Saccharomyces cerevisiae S288C: one gene and its partners. The main gene of each other region encodes a partner of the protein of the gene in region 3 in a complex. Each region holds a gene or a part of one and is shown on either strand. Other genes may lie near its edges. The genes, in order: REA1, NSA2 and RSA4. A codon is read from its position in the direction of its gene.

Region 1 (4,896 bases), on a different chromosome or scaffold from region 3:
TCTGTGACATGATTGACTTGACATTTTTTAGCCTCCCCAATGTGAATTTTTCTATTACTGGCTTCAGAATGGCCTCAGATTTTTGGTCCAGTAAAGTCAAAAAACTCATACAGAATCCATCATACAGGGAACGGCGTAGACCGTAGATATGAATAATATCAGTAACATAAAGCAATGTACGCGTCAGGGTACGGATACTAAAGTGTGGTTTTTGGTTTGAGCCATCAACTATAGTATTGTTATCGGAGAGTTTTTTGGCTTCAAGGTAAAGTTCAGCGATGTCATTTCCTACCCATTCATCGCTGACGCTGTACTTTCCAATATATTTATCAATTATGGAAAGCAAATCAGTAATATCACGTTCCGGAGAATGTACATATATTTCGGTAAATCTTGATCTGATACCCATAGGTAAGTCTCTTTTACCAACATCAGTAGCGGGGTTCATACAAGCAAATATTCTAAAATCGGGGTGAGCTTTTATAGGCTCAGCGTCACCCTTTTCTGAAAGAAGAATACTACGAGAATCAGGCTCGGTGAGAAGGTCAGAAATACTTTCTAAGGTATCTGCGGTTGCTAAATTCACTTCATCGAGCAATAGCCACTCCCCAGCCCTGATAGTCTTTACCAAAGAACCCTCGACAAAATTGAAGACAAACGAGTTTTCAATAGAGCTAGACTGGGCCTCAAACTTCTTCACTGAGTCATTGAAGTCAGCCCATTTGTCAAGTAACAATTTTTTTTCATGAGTATTGAGTCTTCTTTTCTTCTTCTTTGCATTTTCGTTTTCATTTTCAGTGTTTGTAATTTTTAATATGCTTTGAGCCATTTTGTACGCTTCGTTCCAAAGTTTAACAACGTTCTTCCATTGATTCTTGTTGAAGCACCTATGTAGCATCTTGTGAAACTTCTCGTTCTTCTTTAAGGAAAATGTAGCATTAAAAAGAGTTTCAAAATTTTCTTGTATAGGAACTGCAACTGTTTTAGAATTTACGGGTTTGTACCCACCAAGAAGATCACCAGTTTCTGTTTGTTGTGAAACATTGATTACCGTTAATTTTTTTGCTAACATCTTAGCAAGTTGTTGAACGACTGTAGTTTTCCCGGTACCCGTTTCACCGACTAGTAAAACAGGTTCAGTCATCTGTATACAAACAGAAATCTGTTCCATTAGTCTTAAAGAATGATTCGTAAATGCGAACAATGTGCTGTTCATTGATTTTTTTTGTATATTTAGCTTTTCCTTAAGTAATACGGCTCTTCCAATTTTAATGCTATCATCAAGGTTTTCCAAAGTGGGCACATGTTGGGTCAAAAATAACGAAATCCTTGAGGAAGCAATGTCTAATGACTCGCCGATTGCTTGTATAATAGGTTCCAAAGCTTTGAATTCTCCAATAGCGCCAGCGAAACAGTCGGCGGCTTCGGAGAAAATACTGTCGTAGACAGAAGACTGGATTAGTTGGTCAGGTTTGTTGATGCCATTGTTTTTGAATAGGATGTCTAACCTTTCGCACAGCTTAATTAAATCTCTTACAGATACAACTCTTGTGTGTGCCCCCTTGTTCAATGAAATGAACTTGGTGTTCATATAAATACTTTTGACGTTTTTGTATGAATCGATTAGTTTGGGGATAAGGTTGGTCAAAATGGGAAACTTTTGGGCTAAAATGTGTGTCAAATCCTCTTCGCTAGGTTCCTCTAATTCAATAACATTCCAGATTCTCATACCAATCATATTCAAGTTATAGATCTTATTGGAACTATCCTTCTGATGATCTTCGTTTATTCTAACAGTTGATATTAACTGGAAACCATTTGCAGCCTTTACAGTCTCTCCTCTGGATGGAATGGTTAGTTCGCGCTTTTCTAAAAGCGATAAAAGTATTGATAAAACATCTGTAGGAGCTTTATCTATGTCTTCTATAAGTACCCATCTCCCTTCTTTGACCGCGGTAGCGAGAACACCAGCTCTCCATTCAAACGTGCCTGGCTTGTCACCAGAGGTATAAGTACCAATCAGTAACTTGGCATCAGTTTGTTCACCTAAATGAATTTTCACAATGGAGTCATGGCAACCCATATATTTACTTAGCTCATTGATTAAAAAGGTTTTACCGGATCCCGCTTTTCCAATGAGCATTATTGGAGTTGAATTTTGAATCTTTCTCCCGAGTTGACGAAGAGAGGAAACCGTTTTATGAGTAGGGACAAAGGTTAATGGGTAGAATACTTTGTCGTGGATAGTGTGGACCTTAGGGACGATAACGCCACAGATTGACGCGACCTTAGTACTCAAATCCTGAGGCTCAATAATGAAGTAGCTAGATTTTTTTTCTATAGTGAAACATTCTGGAACACTGGGTAGTTTAGAGAAATTTGCACATCTCTTAGCTTCGTTCAGTTCGAGGAAGCTGTAATCAATTCCAGAATCGCCCTCAAAATGGCCCAACAATGAATCGCGTGATTTTATATAAGTGTCGAGCATATCGTTTAATGTTTTTTCTCCCATGTCTAAGTATAAAGATAAAACCTTTAATGCTAGAAATATAACAACCTGATTTTCTTGTTCTTTGGTGAGTAAATCCACAAGTTGGTATAAAATGTCGGGTTGAATGAAGCGTGCAAATACTTCTTTATTGTGATATAGTAACCTATAGTATGCTAATAGTATTTTAAACATGTCGGAATCCTTTTGTGTGGATGGATTTTGAAGAATAGTGATGAAATGATCATTCTCTTTATCTAAATAGTCTTCAATTAATGGCATTGCAACGGGAAATATTGTAATTATACTTGCCAACTTTTCAATTACAAGAACGTAATCTTTTTTTTTGGAGTCCTTTATCCAACGTGCCACTATCTCTAAAAAAATATGTTTGTAAAGGAAAACATGACCAGTGATGGAACGGCTATGTAGTATAGTTCCTGCTAAATTGTCTAAATTCTCAGAAGTTGATTCCTTGTTGCTAAAGTGGAAGGGCGCTTCAATAGCATCAGAGGGAAAAGCAGAATTGAAGAGAATTAACCTTTGGTTAACTACGTCTAAATCTAACAAAATTCTATCCTGGGACATTCTCAGCAGATTATAACGGTTTTAAAAATAATGTGACCGCGTAAAGTAGAGGTACCTTAAAATAATAAGAGTAGAATTCGATGTCAAATTAACTCAGAGGTACTTTGAATCTTTAAAATAATCACTTTGGAGAGGAATGTCTAAAGTAAAGCAGTAAGTGATATAATGTTTTCTTTTCATAAAGCTAAATAGACCTTAGCTCATCGCTTCTTTAAAATTTTTCACTCGAAAAAGAAAAAATACCTCGTAAAGGGCGACAATAAATGATGAGTAGAAAAAGAAATGGAATAACGGTTCAAGTGCATTTAAAATCAATGCCTTGAATATGTGTTTCAGTATACATTCAGTTTGACTATATATCAAGAGAAAGCTTTAGTATGGGAAGTTTGTTGAGACCGGTTGATCTGGTAAATCAACCGCTTGGATTCCAAGAAAGATATAAAATTTTGCAGAAATTATTCAAGCAGCTACAAAAGGCATATGCACACACAAAAGGAACTAATATTGACCTTGAAAGACTTGCCACTCGCTTAGAAGTCCATGTTGCTAAAAACAGCTTGTCTGGTCAGAGTTACAAGTTTAACATGAGCATTTTACTGCGGGATGTGCTTAAATATAAAGGAGATCTCTCGAAGATCAAAATTAATGGGCGCCCCCTTAAAGGAGCTAAGCCTCATTTATCCTCAATTGGTAATGCAAACTCTATCACTACAAAATCAAAAGCGATGGAAGCTTTAAAGGCTCTGATTTTGGATTCGAAGGTCTTAGAGAAAAATGGGTATATTGTTAAGGAAATGCAAAATAAAACTAATGATGACAATAGTACGCAACTGTATGCACCTTGTTTGCGTTGCAGCTCAAATTTCAAAAAAACAGACATCATGGAAAAGACTCTATGTAGGTATCACCCTTTGAAAAGAATATACAACAGAGATACCAAGAACCATCAGTATCCATGCTGTGGTGAAACTACTGATTCCGTTTCTTTTCTAAGGCTAGGATGCAAGACGTTTTTTCACCATGTGTTTAGAGGAGAATCATATGACGAGTTATGCAAAATTTCGAAGTTTTCTAGTACAGATGACATTGATGGTGTTGAGAATGTTCTTTCTCTTGACTGTGAAATGGCTTTTACATCATTGGGCTATGAGATGATACGTTTAACAATTGTGGATTTTTTCACCGGCAAGACACTATTTGATCATGTAATTCAGCCAATAGGGGATATTGTCGATCTGAATTCAGACTTCAGTGGTGTCCATGAGATTGACCGAACCAATTGCCCGACGTACAAGGAGGCACTTGATGTTTTTTTATCCGAAAACTTAATAAATAAAAATAGTATTCTTATAGGGCACGGACTAGAGAACGATCTGAACGTCATGAGGCTATTTCATAATAAGGTTATAGATACTGCAATACTTTATTCAAGAACAAAGTTTAAGGTTTCTTTGAAGAACTTAGCGTTTGAAGTTTTGAGTAGAAAAATCCAAAATGGCGAGCATGATAGTTCTCAAGATGCAATAGCAACGATGGACGTTGTTAAAGTCAAAATAGGTATTTCTCCAAGTCAAAACAAGTGGGAAAAATAATGTGATCATATTCAAAGTTGAGCAGACATATATAGTTATTACATTTCATACGGTTCACATGAGTTTTATTAAGTAATTACGTTAAGAAACAACATGATAAAAGTAATGATTTCGTATTGCTTTCCTATTTTCTGTATTTAAGCGAACAATAATAATGCACCTTTTCAATATCTGAATATTAAAATATCGTGAAATTGGGTTCAGGATGTACCAAACTTGATGATAGCT
Region 2 (3,089 bases), on a different chromosome or scaffold from region 3:
AAACGTGAAGTGCTTTTTTTGATGATTACGCAAAGTTCTTTTCAAGTTCGCCATAAGAGGAGGTTTTCCTTTTCAAAAGGAGCATGATACCAATAATTTATATTGCCTTACGCCTCTTATTTTTTATATCCTCTTTTTAGATTTTATTAATTTTTTTTTTTATTTATATACATATAATGTGCCCTGCTTTTTACAACCATACGTTTTTTGTTTTTTAATTTTCTTGCATTTTAAAACTGAATAGTGACCTGGGTATTATACTACAGTTGAAATTGCTCTCGTGAGGTACATACTTGAAACGAGCGTACTAGGCAATCCCTCTCTTGCCAGTCACCTACACACGGAGAGTATCGGTTATTTGTCGTGAGGAAAAAAGAACCGGATAATAAATTCTTGATTTGTTATATTGTACAGAGAATGACGAGAAGTAAAAAGAGAAACCCGAACAGGACAGAGCGTACATTTTTTATATACCTGTTCTTTTGTGCTTGTAGACGTATATCGTATTATTAAATTAAAAGTAAACCTAATTTGAACCATCGAGATAAAAAAAAAAAAAACGGAGCACTTTTTTGCTCATACAAGCAAAACCGCATTGACACAGCCGTCTCTGTCTGGTTCGTTTGTGACCTGAGCATACTTACCCCAGACAACTTTACCACCAGCAGTAACCATCCCCAATTCCGAAACGTTAACTTCAATAATGGTACCTTTAGTCAAAACACCTAACTGAGTGTACATTGGAGATTGTGGATTCTTCTTAACTGCCAAAATTGGCAAGAAGACAGTTACACCTAATTCCGGATGAGTGACGTTTGCCTTTTTCTGTCTCAACGCACTTGGTCTGATGATTCTTTCCATTTTAACTGGTCTTCTAGTGAAACCTTCACCCACAAAAGTGTGTTTCGTTATCATTCTCTTCCATGACTTGGATCTAGATTTACCTGTTTTAATAACTTTGAACATTTCTTCTTCACTTATACCACGAACCTTTGGTAACGGAACTGAAAACTTATCAGCTTTTTCCAACCTCTTTTGTTTGATCGATGAAGAAATAGCTTTGGCTGTGTTATTTTGTTCTCTGTCCAATAGATATGTCGGCAAAGCATCACCATCGGTATCCAATGGTTTGGATGAACCCTTGACCTTAGATTGTTCATGTGCCTTAATCTTCTTTCTCATTGATACCTTTTCAGCATATCTCTTCTTAGCAAATTGCTTACCCTTCCAACCAGTCAACTTCTGGGCCCGTTCAGAAATCTTATGAGACTCTCTTGCCTCTCTCTTACGTTTCCTTTCTTCGTGATCTAATCTTTTACCATGCTGTTTGATGTGACGCTCGATATAATCGTTTTGAGGCATTGTTTCGTTGTATATATCAGTATTGATACGAGACTGACTACTGACTAAAGATAAAAACGCCAGATACGAAAACCAAGTTCTTCTCTAACTGATACCTAATCCATTCAATTGTCTTAAAAGTGCATCTCATCGCTGTCCGGAAAATTTTTCATCGGATTGTTACTAGAACCGTTGCCGACGACATAAAATTTTTTACGCCTTTCCTGCAAGGTTGAAGAAAAGAAACCGATGAGCTATACCATTCTAAAGTGTCAAAAGAGATGAAGAAATTAAAATTGTCAACTAACACACAAATCCAAGAATGTCTGAACTTAATGCATTATTAAAAGATATCAACGGCTCGCTCACTGCGACATCAGAATCCTTGGAGAGGTTGTCTGGGATTTATAGTAATTCTGCGACCGATGAGATTCCTGAAAGTAACCAACTACATGAGCATCTATTTTACGACGCTAAGAAGCCTGCTGAGAAAGTATCGCTGCTATCCTTAAAAAATGGGAGCATGCTAGGGTACATAAATTCTCTATTGATGCTTATAGGCAATAGGCTAGACGACGAGTGCAAAGATCCTTCTGCTATGGATGCACGTGAACGCTCTATTCAACACCGTGTGGTATTAGAGCGTGGTGTTAAACCACTAGAAAAAAAGTTGGCTTACCAATTGGACAAGCTGACTAGAGCATATGTGAAAATGGAAAAGGAATATAAAGACGCTGAGAAGCGTGCACTGGAAAAATCTACCTTAGTGAATCATAGCGGCAACGACGATAGCGAAGATGATGAGTCTAGTGAGGATGAAATAGCATACAGGCCAAATACCTCTGGAATTATCAACACAAATAAAAAATCATCAGCATACAGGGTGGAGGAAACGGCTAAGCAAGAAAACGGGGAAGAAAACGATGACAATGAGACTGGCGTGTATAAACCACCAAAGATTACGGCTGTTCTACCACCGCAACAAACGCATTTTGAAGATAGATTCGATGCCAGAGAACACAAAGATCGTAGTAACAAATCGCGTATGCAAGCCATGGAAGAATATATTAGAGAGTCATCGGACCAACCGGACTGGAGTGCATCTATTGGTGCTGACATTGTGAACCATGGAAGAGGCGGTATCAAATCTTTGAGAGACACAGAGAAGGAACGTAGAGTCACTTCATTCGAAGAAGATAATTTTACCAGATTGAATATTACAAATAAAGCTGAAAAAAGGAAGCAAAAGCAACGAGAAAGAAATGCAAGGATGAACGTTATCGGTGGTGAAGATTTTGGTATATTCAGCTCAAAGAGGAAGCTGGAAGATAGCACTTCGAGACGTGGGGCCAAGAAGACTCGTTCTGCCTGGGATAGAGCTCAAAGGAGACTGTAGATACAAAAAGTTTATTTTCTTATATCCTAAAGCGTTTATAGACTTAATATTTAAAAGTTAAATATAAATGAAGGGCACTGGTATATAAGCTATTAAAAACAAGAATTTTGGCTTTCACGACATTAACGTGTGAGAGGTTTAGGCACCATTGCCTTTATGATTATTAGTCCCTCCAGAATAAACTCTACCTTTTTTTTTCTTTTTTTTTTTTATAGTCCTAAGCAGAACATGACTAAATCGCCATAAATTAACAATATAGTGGGAATAAGGCACACCAGAAGTGCCACGATATAGTATATATACAATGATAAATGAGTACGTTGCCAGAAAGGTCGCTCTAAAGGACATGCAA
Region 3 (3,943 bases):
CATTTCTTAGTTGAATTACATCTCCTTCAATCTTTCTGATCTCCGTGATAATCTTGTTACCTCCATTTTTATAAGCGGAATACACCGGTAGATTTCCGGTCCTGCTTCTCTCCACGTAGTAGGTCTTTTTACCAAAATTGTTGTTTCCTATGAGCTCATGCATCTTCACGTCTTCCAGCTTTGGAAATATTGGCGCCTCAGCAGCTTTATTTGAATTAGTGGATATACATCTTATCGTTTGGTATATCGAGGCAGTGGCAGGCCCTGGAAGGCATTTACCCCTACCAAAACATCTAGTAACACACGAACTGATCATAGTTTTGCTCACACGCTACCTTGGAGTAAGTTGCTTTAGGTAAACGGGCACTTCTTTCAAAAGGTTTTCCTTCTTGCTGGAGCTATACTGCTTATAGTACCATATTTTAAATTCATACCAAGCCATTCGTACGCGATGACCATTATAGATCGACCTTGCGACACCATCATATTTAATATTCAAAAAGAAAAAAATGCAGTTCTATATCACAGTTATATAATATTTATATGTGCATGTATGTTACTTGTCTTTGCACATAACTCAATGCGTCCACAATCTTACCATCTTGTCTTTCCCACCACTACACACTCTTTTACCGTCGACACTCCAGTCGACGGTATAAACTTCGTCTTTATGACCAGGGAGGTCAACAGAAAGTTTTCTAGTTCTTACATCCCACACTTTCAACGTGGTATCTTTGGAACATGACACCAGTAGTCGGCAGTCCGATGACCACGCAACCTGGTATACGCTGGCTACATGCCCTCTAAATGTGGAGATAAACTTACCATCTCTACCGTCCCAAAGTTTGATAGAGTTATCAAAAGACGCTGAGACAATATACCTACCATCAGGGCTGAACGCCACATGATTGACTAATTTTTGGTGACCGGTCATTCTTGCTATAGGCTTGGTAGATTTTAGTGGGTTCCATAAAAACATGGTATAATCATCGCTTGCAGTAACCATCATTTCTTCTGAATTTCCATTCTTTTTACAGATTTTTTCATAATTTTCCAATGCCTTTTTCTGGGCTTCTTCTGGTGTAGAAGGCTTCTTACCTGTATGATCGAATGCACCAATGCGCAATGCGTAATCTGTAGATAAAGATAAGTGATTAACCCAGTGCGCATGCGACTTCAAAATGTTGATACATCTGCCCTGCGAATTGATGTCCCATACACGTACGGTTCTATCGTGAGAGCCACTATACAATAGACCTTGGCCGCCCCATTTGACACAAGACACTGAATTTGTGTGACCACTCATCGTATACTGGCAAACTCTGCTCACAGTGTCCCAAATCTTAATAGTACCATCCTTAGAAGATGAAGCTAATCTTGGTTTGGAGCCCGGCTTCACAAGATGTATAGGTTCCCAACTTAAAGAAGTGATCCACTTGGAATGACCTCTGAGAGCATCACCTAGACACTGACCGCTTTTTGGGTCCCATAATCTTATGGTATTGTCCATGGATCCCGTAGCAATTACTTCTCCATCGGGGGACCAGGAAACGCAGAGAACCCAATTGTAGTGACCCTTTAGAGTATGCATTGGCGTTTGGGTGTCACAGTCCCAAATCCTTGCAGTATTATCACCTGCACCGGTTACCATCCTAGAACTCGTATGTGGTGCGAAGGCAGAACACAAAATTGTGGAACCGTGACCTGCAATGGCTGATGAACTTCTAGTTACCGGCTTGACTTTGAAAACTGCTCTTGGCGTATACAGTAGCGTGATCTGATCTTCTGTACTGTTATAGCCTGGTTTTATTAATGAAGAATATAGGTTATCTGTTATATCAATCGTCTTCACAGGGTCACTGGCCTTCTTACCTTGAATTGTACAGCTGAAGGTATATGGCACTGGATCGTCTGAAGTACCGTTCAATTGATTTAAAAGTTCTTCTAACTGTTTCTCGGAGATAGCACCGGGAACTCTCAGGGCGCCACCTACATTGTCACCAGTATCTAAAGCTTGGAACTTGATTGAAACATTGGGTAAATCTTTCGGAATAATAGCTACTTCTCTGGGAAGTTGAGCCTCTTTCTTTTGTTTCTTAGAAGGTGGAGGAATCAGGGTGGACATCTGTATATTGTGTTAGTGTGTGTTTATCGAGGTTACAAATATAAAAATCTTGTGATATATGTCTTTTAAAGATACTCTTTTTGAAGCTCATCGCATTTTTTTTTTTTTTTTCATTTTAAAATTTTTCACCGGTTTCTCGGGTAACAGCTCTAAATGAAATCTTGCCTTCATCACCATTATTGAATTACATTACATTATATATCGTAGTATATCATATTTTTAGACGTTGACCACTCTATGAGCTTAGGATAGGTACTTGATCTTTCTCTGAGTTGCCAAATGCTATTTCACGGATTTGTATCATCCAAGGGTCTATCAGTAGTTCCACAGCAGTAGCCCTCATAGTGGGGTCTTGAACCAAACACCTTTCCAAGAAGGCTCTTCCCGCTGCAGTCATTTCGTCTCTATTGGGTAGTTGCGGTATTCGACCTGCAGCAACGTGGTACATGATGGCCCATTCATTATCCAAGTTAGACCAAGGTCGTCTACCTGTGGCCATTTCTAGCACAACACATCCTAATGCCCATACATCGTCCGCTCCAAGTTTTCCCTTAACTGCCGAGCCTGAAATAGTCTCTGGAGCCATATACATCGGTGTCCCCATCATTTCATTGAGGGACTTTGTTTCTACTCCAAAATCTTGAACGGCTGCGTTCCGCACAGTTCTAGTCCTAGATCCTACAACGGTACGTGCCGTACCAAAATCCACATATTTTATGATTCCATTGAAATCCAGCAAGATATTCTCCGGTTTAATGTCGCGATGCACCACGCCAGATTGGTGCAAATATGCCAAACCTTCTAATAGTTCGAATGTGTACACTTGTGTTACCATTTCATCTTCAATTCTTCCATGATCCAATAACGAGGCTAAAGAACCACCCTCACAGTATTCCATGAAGATGTTAACTTTATCGCGATGTACTTCGACACCATAGTACTGGACAATATTAGGATGGTTTAACATTTCCAATACGGTCATCTCTTCTTTAATCAGGGGAAAAATCTTCTTCATTGTTGTGGTATCGTGTATCTTTATTTCCTTAACAGCTAAGATTTCACCGTTTTCCAGATTAATTGCAGAGTATACCTGTCCAAATGTTCCACCGCCAATGAAGCTTCTTTTTTGCCACCTCATTGATACATTCGATAATGAGGATGCTAGCGATAGTAGGTATTTGTTTCCCTGATCTGTAGCATCCAATACCTTACCCATTTGCCTGGGATTCCTCTTCATAGTCTTTTCCAACGTCTTTATAGCTTCCAGTCTCAACCTGCTGTTTATTTCTAGGGTGGCCTCTTCATCAATATTCTCTTCAGTATCAATATTCAATCTTGCCTGTTGCATGCCATTTTCAGCTTCAGTGGCTCGTGCACCCATAACGTCGAAATGTGAAATTAATAATGACATACATACTGATACCCTCTCCTTCAGTTCTTGAAATTGCTTTACATTCAGCGCCAGGATATTATAACCACTAGTCATCTGCATCGCAAAATCCATTGCAAGAACGCACCATCGGAAAGTTCGCTGATCGGTAGGATCACACTCTTCAACAAGGAATTTCAACCAGTTCATTCCTAATTTAACCATCAGAAAGATGATAACGTACTTCCTCTTTGAGCTAAAGGCGTTATATTTAAGGAAACTTCTTCCAAAATCCCTTCCAAACATGAATATCGAATTTAACAACTCATTTCCCGGACATTGCTTCATAAAGCTACCTAGAATTCCTTTGTAGTTGTTCAATACTGTATAAGTAAGTTTGTAATATGCCTTATTGATTTTTTGTAGGGAGGATTCAATTGAATTGAGTG

The links.
Region 1: the proteins of RSA4 (region 3) and REA1 are in contact, whole or in part, in a cryo-EM structure (PDB 6YLF), measured with the Saccharomyces cerevisiae proteins. Residues at the interface, in NP_009997.2 of Saccharomyces cerevisiae: Leu29 (codon at 2,041), Pro30 (codon at 2,038), Asn31 (codon at 2,035), Ala48 (codon at 1,984), Leu49 (codon at 1,981), Arg50 (codon at 1,978), Val51 (codon at 1,975), Pro52 (codon at 1,972), Pro108 (codon at 1,804); in NP_013207.1 of Saccharomyces cerevisiae: Glu4778, Thr4779, Cys4817, Glu4818, Asp4853, Met4854, Ser4855, Gln4856, Val4857.
Region 2: the proteins of RSA4 (region 3) and NSA2 are in contact, whole or in part, in a crystal structure (PDB 4WJV), measured with the Saccharomyces cerevisiae proteins. Residues at the interface, in NP_009997.2 of Saccharomyces cerevisiae: Ser144 (codon at 1,696), Thr145 (codon at 1,693), Leu147 (codon at 1,687), Gly164 (codon at 1,636), Trp188 (codon at 1,564), Leu190 (codon at 1,558), Trp231 (codon at 1,435), Ile232 (codon at 1,432), Thr233 (codon at 1,429), Lys256 (codon at 1,360), Trp322 (codon at 1,162), Asn324 (codon at 1,156), Asp379 (codon at 991), Leu404 (codon at 916), Asn406 (codon at 910), Phe422 (codon at 862), Tyr448 (codon at 784), Gln449 (codon at 781), Tyr490 (codon at 658), Lys506 (codon at 610); in NP_011052.1 of Saccharomyces cerevisiae: Asp85 (codon at 1,110), Ala86 (codon at 1,107), Leu87 (codon at 1,104), Pro88 (codon at 1,101), Thr89 (codon at 1,098), Tyr90 (codon at 1,095), Leu91 (codon at 1,092), Leu92 (codon at 1,089), Asp93 (codon at 1,086), Arg94 (codon at 1,083).

The regions. Positions count from the first base shown.
Region 1 is NC_001144.5:360,663-365,558, forward strand, and holds the start of REA1 (AAA family ATPase midasin), read right to left. Parts: upstream 3,077-4,896; coding exon 1-3,076. Other genes in the region: REX3 (RNA exonuclease), read left to right, coding at 3,454-4,668. UniProt on the Saccharomyces cerevisiae protein: Nuclear chaperone required for maturation and nuclear export of pre-60S ribosome subunits.
Region 2 is NC_001137.3:412,818-415,906, forward strand, and holds NSA2 (rRNA-processing protein NSA2), read right to left. Parts: upstream 1,363-3,089; coding exon 577-1,362; downstream 1-576. Other genes in the region: small subunit rRNA maturation protein LCP5, read left to right, coding at 1,664-2,737; VFA1 (Vfa1p), read left to right, coding at 3,042-3,089. UniProt on the Saccharomyces cerevisiae protein: Involved in the biogenesis of the 60S ribosomal subunit. May play a part in the quality control of pre-60S particles. Under normal, rapid growth conditions, high levels of NSA2 would allow the progression of pre-60S particles through the ITS2 processing.
Region 3 is NC_001135.5:240,228-244,170, forward strand, and holds RSA4 (Rsa4p), read right to left. Parts: upstream 2,126-3,943; coding exon 578-2,125; downstream 1-577. Other genes in the region: mitochondrial 54S ribosomal protein mL49 IMG2, read right to left, coding at 1-316; mitogen-activated protein kinase kinase kinase SSK22, read right to left, coding at 2,361-3,943. UniProt on the Saccharomyces cerevisiae protein: Involved in ribosome biogenesis. Required for processing and efficient intra-nuclear transport of pre-60S ribosomal subunits.